2 linked regions of the Sus scrofa genome follow. The protein of the gene in region 1 purifies or fractionates together with the protein of each later gene. This does not show direct contact. Links are inferred from orthologs where the notes say so. Each region holds a gene or a part of one and is shown in the gene's direction. Other genes may lie near its edges. The genes, in order: NIPSNAP2 and HADHA.

The links.
Region 2: the proteins of NIPSNAP2 (region 1) and HADHA purify together in Homo sapiens (affinity purification with mass spectrometry; 3 studies listed by BioGRID and IntAct, with this or other methods). This does not show direct contact. The link is inferred for Sus scrofa from reciprocal best matches to the Homo sapiens genes NIPSNAP2 and HADHA.

Annotation. Positions count from the first base shown.
Region 1 is NC_010445.4:16,928,226-16,932,044, reverse strand, and holds part of NIPSNAP2 (protein NipSnap homolog 2), read left to right. Parts: intron 1-1,293; coding exon 1,294-1,433; intron 1,434-1,515; coding exon 1,516-1,561; intron 1,562-3,819. UniProt on the Homo sapiens protein: Protein involved in mitophagy by facilitating recruitment of the autophagy machinery required for clearance of damaged mitochondria.
Region 2 is NC_010445.4:112,759,552-112,763,370, forward strand, and holds part of HADHA (trifunctional enzyme subunit alpha, mitochondrial), read left to right. Parts: intron 1-386; coding exon 387-520; intron 521-3,091; coding exon 3,092-3,230; intron 3,231-3,819. UniProt on the Homo sapiens protein: Mitochondrial trifunctional enzyme catalyzes the last three of the four reactions of the mitochondrial beta-oxidation pathway.

The DNA of each region.
Region 1 (3,819 bases):
TCTGGCATTGCCATGATCTGCATTGTAGGCCAAAGACGAGGCTCAGATCTGGCATTGCTATGGCTGTGGTGTAGGCCAGCAGCTGCAGGTTCGATTTGACCCCTAGCCTGGGAACCTCCATATGCCTCTGCGGCCCTAAAATAAAAAGGAAGGAAGGGATGGAAGAAAGAAAGGAAAGAAAAGAGAGGGAGGAAGGAAGGAAGAAAAAGAAAGAAAGAGGGAGTTCCTGTTGGTGGCTCAGTGAGTTAAGAACCTGACATAGTGTCAGGATATGGGTTCAATCTCTGGCCTCACTCAGTGGGTTAAGGATTCCATGTTGCCTCAAGCTGTGGTGTAGATTGCAGATGCAGCTTGGGTCTGGTGTTGCTATGGCTGTGGTGTAGGCCTGCAGCTGCAGGTTCGATTCAACCCCAAGCCCAGGAACTTCCATATGCTTCAGGTGTGGCCTTAAAAAGAAAAAAAAGAAACAAGAAAAAATAAATCTTGATTTTTAAAGAAAAAATGTCATTTCACTTTCTCTGTATATTTCTTCTCACATTTTATATTGTGGTAAAGTACATATAAAATTTGCCATTTTTCTTTTGGGGGGAGTGTTTGTTGTTGTTTTTGGCTGCCCCATGGCATATGGAGTTCCCAAGCCAGGGATCAGATCCAAGACGCAGTGGGGATCTAAGGATCTTAGATCCTTAAGCCCCTGTGCCGGGCCAGGGATAGAATCTGCATCTCAACGGCACCAAGACACTGCCGATCCCATCGCGCCACAGTGGGAACTCTGCCATTTTAGCCGTTTTTAAGTGCACACTTCAGTGGCATTAAGTACATTCCCAGAGTTGTGCAGCCACCACCACCACCACCACCATCTCCAGAACCTTTTCATCTTCCCAGACTGAAACTCTGTATCCATCGAATAATAACTCCACCCCTGGCAACCACCGTTCTACCTTCTTTTTCTGTGAATCTCACAATTCCAGGTTTCCATGTATGTTTTTTCTGGGTTGAAATGTCCTTGGAGGAGGGAAGAGCACGTGGCGGAACTCGCAGAGACACGTGTGAGCTCCCCAGGAGCCGTGGAAGCCACTTCTGTCACGCTCTGCTCCTGTGCGTGGGAGCGCACGCTGTTGGGGTGGAAAGCGGACCTGTGGTAACCCGGGTTCTAGAGCGGTGCCTGGAGTGTGTGTTGGCTGAATGGATTGATGGAGTTTATGAAAACAGTGTACTGCGCCACACAACCTAAAGACCCTGAAATCTTTGCACCTCTGATTATACTCACATTTTGGCTTGATTACTCCTTAGGAAATTGGCGTCTTCCAATAACAGACTTCGAGAAGAGAGCTGGCTAAAATCCTTGTTTGTCCGGAAGGTCGATCCGAGGAAGGATGCGCACTCGAACCTCCTGGCCAAGAAGGAAACAAGCAGTCTGTACAAATTACAGTGTGAGTGGCAGGTTTGCTAGCTTCATAGTTGACTTTTCCCCCTTTGTTCCTAAGTTTATCGTTGAATTTTCTTTTGTTTCAGTTCACAATGTTAAACCGGAATGCCTAGAAGCATACAACAAAATTTGGTGTGTATACCAGACTATCCTTTACTTGGGGGAAAAGAGTGATTTTAATATCTGTCCGTTGAGCTAACCCTTGCTAGCAGAGTGAGGTCTTTCACAGCTGTTCTTAAAGCAGAACACTCGAGGCTCTGAAGTTGAGCGCTGTTGTGGGGTTGCCAAGGGCGCTTTGATCTCAAGCACGCATTCAGAGCTAAGACATCACCCAGGTTCTCAGACTTCGGAATGTTACTAGGCTCTTGAGGTTGGAAGGACCCTTGCAAGGCAGTCCAGCCCAGCTCCTCGTCCAGCGCCTGAGTCCTTTTGCAGCCCTAGCTGACTACCTGTGCTTATTACCTTCATGTGCCACATCTCCAGATGGTTCTGAGTGTTAGGAGCTGGAACTCACACCCCAGGGCCCTCCACTGTTTCCAGTTTTACTCCTGCGTAACAGGCCACAGGAGCGTTCTTATGGGTTTCAGTAGAGCCAACATTTCTCCCCAAGTCTTCCATCCTCCGGGATGCAAGCCCCTTCAGCAGGTTCTCATATGACATGAAATGCATGTGCTCTTAAAGAATTTGTAAACTTTAAGATCAAAGAGAATTAATTGCATCAGTCCTTAAATAATAGCAATAGCATTTTAAAGGTCAAATTGTCAGCAAACAGAACTAACAAGCTTGTTTTAAGCCTTTCACATCTGCTGCTTTCATGAGAAAGCAAATGATTTTGTTACCAGAGCCAGCATAACTTTCAGAAGCAAAAATCTTTTGTTGTTTTACTTTTGGAGGTGGTTTGTGAAATGTAACATCAGCAGGGTTGCCTTTATTTTTTAAAAAAAGGCCCTTAATACAAAGCAGATGCTTTTTTTCTGAATCTCTTCTCAGAAAATGCAGTTTTTCTGTACGCTGATGTTTCCCTGGATTACCTTTCCCACCCTGTTTTTATCACCTCATCTCCTGTCTCACATTCCTGGCTGTCTGTCCATATTTCTAGTCGAAAGTCTTGTTCTCACTTCAAACACAATATATGGAATCACCTGCCCTTCCAGCTTCCCTGTGTGTGACACTCAGAGTGGTTCTACTGGACTCTTTCCATAGTTTTTGGTGATTAATCGGTCACCAAGGGCTGTGCCTTCTTCATTTGACGTGTATCTTTGCTTCTCTTGGCTTGTTTCCTTCTCCACCTCCCTCTCCAGGCCGGGTGAGGTGCGTTTCCTGACTTCCTGGGCCTGAAGCTGCACCTGTACCCCTGCCCTGCCCCCACCATGAGCCCTTCCCTAAAGTTTGTCAAATCCATCTGCTTGAGTTCTGTTTCCTCCTTCGTCCTGTTTTTCTTCTTTTCTCTGGAGCTCTCAGCAGCTTCCTGTTTCCAGTATATAAAGACTTAACTCCTGCCTGGTTTTTAGGGGCCCAAATAATGAGGTTCTGCCCAGCTCATCAAGGGCTGGCTACAAGCACTGCCCACCTCACAACCTCCGTTCACCTGGGTGCTCTGTGCAGGCTTCCGGTGGCCACACGGCTCCAGTTCTGGGTTGTTGACTCCCTGCCCACGTCATGTGGCCAAAAGGAAACCCGTGTCCGTATCCCTCACTTCATCCATCTTTCCCCACCCCCGATTCCCATCAGTCTTGTGCTGTTTCTGAACATTCATGGGTCATATACATCAGGTAGATTTAATATCTGATCTTAATTTTAAAAGGAAATGCTACCCTTCAAAAAAATACACGTGGTTTGCCATTGTAGTGGGTCATAAAGACATTAGAGTTTTGTTACCAGCTTTTCTCTGATAACTGTTCACACCCGCCCTGTCCTAGTGCCTCAGCATCTGGTGGTGATCACCCGCTTCATAGTATCGCTTGATGTCAGCAAATAGACAGGTTCCATTTCGGACCCTTGATATCTTTTTGCTCCCATTGTTGAATCTATATTGTACTTTGTCATCATCCATTTCTGTCCAGAATGTGCCGGTTTTAGCTTTTCCCTGGTAAGGGGCAATTGTGCCTCTCTGCTTTGCCTTTCCCTGTACATTAGCATCCGAACTCTGGGAAGGTCTCCACGGAACCGGGCGCCGCTCGGACACCTCTGTTACGTTAGCATCCTGCCATGACCGTGCCCGGACAGCGGTGACAAAACCGGGTGGTGTGTCCCGGGTGGGATTATGTGCTCCCTTCCGGATCCCCTCAGCTGGGTGAATTGAGGAGAAACGCAGGTGTGCTTTCATCTGGGTTCTTCTGCCCCGTGGAAGCCCTTTGGGGTGGTTGGGGTTGGGGTCGCTTTCAGACGCA
Region 2 (3,819 bases), about 96 Mb from region 1:
GTTTCAACAAATATTTTAAAAATTAAGATTCCTATGTCTAATTTCATTACTTTTTTTCCTTAACATTATACAAATTTTTTCCAAGCTGATAAATGTTTGTAGACTTATGTGTAGCCTGCATATGATTCAAACTCTTAGGAATATGACCTTCCTTAGGAATATGAGGTCCTCCTTGGAGTAGAACTATATTTAAAGGGAGAGGTGCTTAATCTTGGCCCAAGCACCTAATAAGACAGCTACTGTTTCTTCCCCGTCTCTCTTTCTTTTAGCAATATATTTCTCCTGAGTAAGCATATTTGCTTAAATCAAAATAGCATTTGATGGTGATTTGCACATCTGTTACTTTAAATTTAAATTCTTAGTTTATATGTATGTCCCTTTGGCAGGTAAATACTCTGGGTCAGGAACTGCATTCAGAGTTCATAGAAGTGATGAATGAAGTCTGGTCTAGCAGTCAGATCAGAAGCGCTGTCCTTATCTCATCAAAGCCAGGCTGCTTCATTGCAGGTGCTGATATCAAGTAAGTTTTGGGAAAGTTGAAGTCACCTTTTATCTTGGCTAATAGTATGATTTTTAGGCCTAATCACTTCTCATTTTAAAATAAGGTAGAAGTAAATTTTCTCTAAAAGTTTTTTTTTATTTTCATGAGTATAATAAAAAGTTGATAAAAATGAAGGGCTTGTTGCTTAAAACTTATAAGACCAAATATACCCTTTCTTTAAAGAGGTTGAAAGCAGTTCAAGGAGCAATATTTGAATATAATTTAAAACACTATAAAACTGGAGTTGCCATTGTGGCTCAGCAGTAACGAATCCAACTAGTATCCAGAAGGACTCGAGTTTGATCCCTGGCCTTGCTCAGTGGTCTAAGGCTCTGGTGTTGCCATGAACTGTGGTGTAGGTCACAGACATGGCTCAGATCCCACATTGCTATAGCTATGGCATTGGCTGGCAGCTGCAGCTCCAATTCAACCCCTCACCTGGGAATTTCCATATGCCATGGGTGCAGCCCTAAAAAGACAAAAAAAAAAAATACCGTAAAACTAACAATGAGAAGCCCCTTTTTTTTTAATCCATCAGCCCAGCAAACATTTAAAAAGTTTGAAAATATCATGTTAGCAAGGACTTGGGAAATGAGAAAGTTAAATATTAGTAGGAATGCAAATTGCTATAGCTACTTTGGAGAGAAATCTGTTAACATTTAGGAAAACTGAAAATACATGTATCATATAATGAAGTGATACCTCTTCTAGGTATATATGCTAGAGAAATCCCACCCTCTGTTTTTAAGGACCCATCCATGAAGATGTTCAGTCCTATGTAATTTAAAAATAATGAAGAATTCGAATCAAGCTGAATGTTATTCATTAGGAAAATAGATAAGTATACATGGAATACTCACAAGATAAAATACTTAAAGCTGTTTAGAGGACCCAAGTAGATCTACAGCATAATGTCAGAACTCAAAAACATAATGTTAAGGAGTTCCCTGGTGGCTCAGTAGGTTGAGGATCCAGCATTGTCACTGCTGTGGCAGAGGTTTTGATCCGTGGCCCATGAATTTCTGTATGCTGCAGTTGCAGCCAAAAACAAACAAGCAAACAAACATAATGTTAAGTTTAAAAAAAAGCAAGTTGCAGAATTTTGATATAGTATAGAGTTTATGTAAGCTTTTTTTTTTAAGGGCTGCACCTGTAGCATATGGATGTTCTCAGGTTAGGGGTCCAGTTGGAGCTGCACCTGCTGGCCAGCGCCACAACCACAACACCAGATCTAAGCTTCGTCTGTGACCTATGCTGCAGCTCACAGCAATACCAGATCCTTAACCCATTGAGCCAGGCCAGGGATGGAACCCACATCCTCATGGATACTGGTCGGGTTCATTACCATTGAGCCACAATTCGAACCCTATAAACATTTTTAAACCGTGCATGAGTACTTCTCTGTGTTATTTATGGATACAAATAAAATGTAGTTGATCTGAAGAATACAGTACAAACATGAAAAGGTTGTTTCAGGGTAAATGAAGTGGCTGGTAGAACTTGAGGAGGTCAAAGGGAACTTTACCAATACAACTAATATTTTCTTTTTTTCTTCAATGATGTATATATGTGTATATAACTTGTTTACAATTTGTTACAAAAATGAGAAATGATGTCTTAGGGTTTAGTTTAATGGGTTAAAAGGTTAATAGTTGTTAATTCTGTCAAAGTATGGGTATTTGTTATATTATTCTTTGCATTTTAGGCATTGATAGCCAGCATTATCAGTTTAGTAATTTGTACTTAAGGTGTGTGTATATTTTTAAGCTTTGTTCACTATTGTGTTTCCTTCTTTGTTTATGTATAGTAATTAGAAATTTATGTTCTGTTTGTTTAATGTTTATTTTTTAGAAAAAGCAGAATTGTCTCTATCAAGTGCTTTTTCCTCTAGTTCTGGTATTTAAGCCTAGCCAGACACTAGTGTACCTGGCAATAGCTAGCTAAATCCCCAGGTGAATACTTGCAGCTTCTGTGAGGCTAGCTGAGCAACTCCAAGCATATAAAATGCTTGGTGAAAAGTACAAAATCCGCAGCTTAAATGTGTTCAGAAACAAAATAAGTAGCAAGTAAAACAAAATGAAATTAAAGGTATTGAGGACAACAATATTGTAATAGATCTTTTTTAATCATTAGGAGATCTGTTCAAAGGTTTTAGATCCGTCTAAATAATGTGAAGCTTTTCCATTCTGTCACTTCGATTGATATTTAATCTGAAAGCTACCTGATAGTGAAAATGTTTGATCATGAAAATATTTACCAGAAGATGATTTTCTCATGCACAGAGCTTTGTAATCTAGTGATTTGTTGACAAAACAAAAATATGCAGCCTATTTTGCTCCATGTTCTCTGAATCCAGAAATTTAACACTCTTTATAGAGAGAGGATGTCATTGATATTAGTGCTATCTGAGGCAAAGTCATTCTTAAACATCTGAATATTAGAAGATTCACTACCAAATATTGATATATGATAGGATAAGGATATGGTGGATGAAGTATTACACAAAGTAGGTTGTAGTTTCATTTTTTTTTTTTTTTCTGTTCTCTACAGCATGTTATCAGCTTGCACGACCTCTCAAGAGGTAACGCAAATATCACAGGAAGCACAGAGAACATTTGAGAAACTTGAGAAGTCCACAAAGCCTATTGTGGCTGCCATCAATGGAACCTGCTTAGGAGGAGGACTTGAGGTACACGTTTATTCTAAAGCCATTGTGATACAGTCCAGACTACTGTTGGATTCACCAGCTGCAAACCTTTAGGCTACTATTTTGCCTTAGAGAAGTTGTTGAGGAAGAATCAGCTTTTTTTTAATTATCAAACTTCTAGATAGGTTTTAATCCTTACTCTCATGACACCGAGCACGTGAATCAAAGTGTCATGTTTTCATTTATAAATTGAGAAGGTTTGAACTAGATCTCTAAGGTCTCTTTCAGTTCTAGAAAAGCTTCTTCAAGTTTGCAGGGCAAAGATTCAGAAGTGTGATTCATGCTCTTGAGCTGCTCAAGTCTAGTTGAGACACATGATGCATGATATACGTCGAGCGTTTTGTGAGTAGTAAAGATGGAAAGACAAGGTTTGAGAGAAGAGAGGCCTACCAGATTGGAGCATGTAGGAAAGAAGGGGAAAAGAAAATAACTTTTAGGAGTTCCCGTCATGGCGTAGTGGTTAACAAATCCGACTAGGAACCATGAGGTTGCAGGTTCGGTCCCTGCCCTTGCTCGGTGGGTTAACGATCCGGCGTTGCCATGAGCTGTGGTGTAGGTCGCAGACATGGCT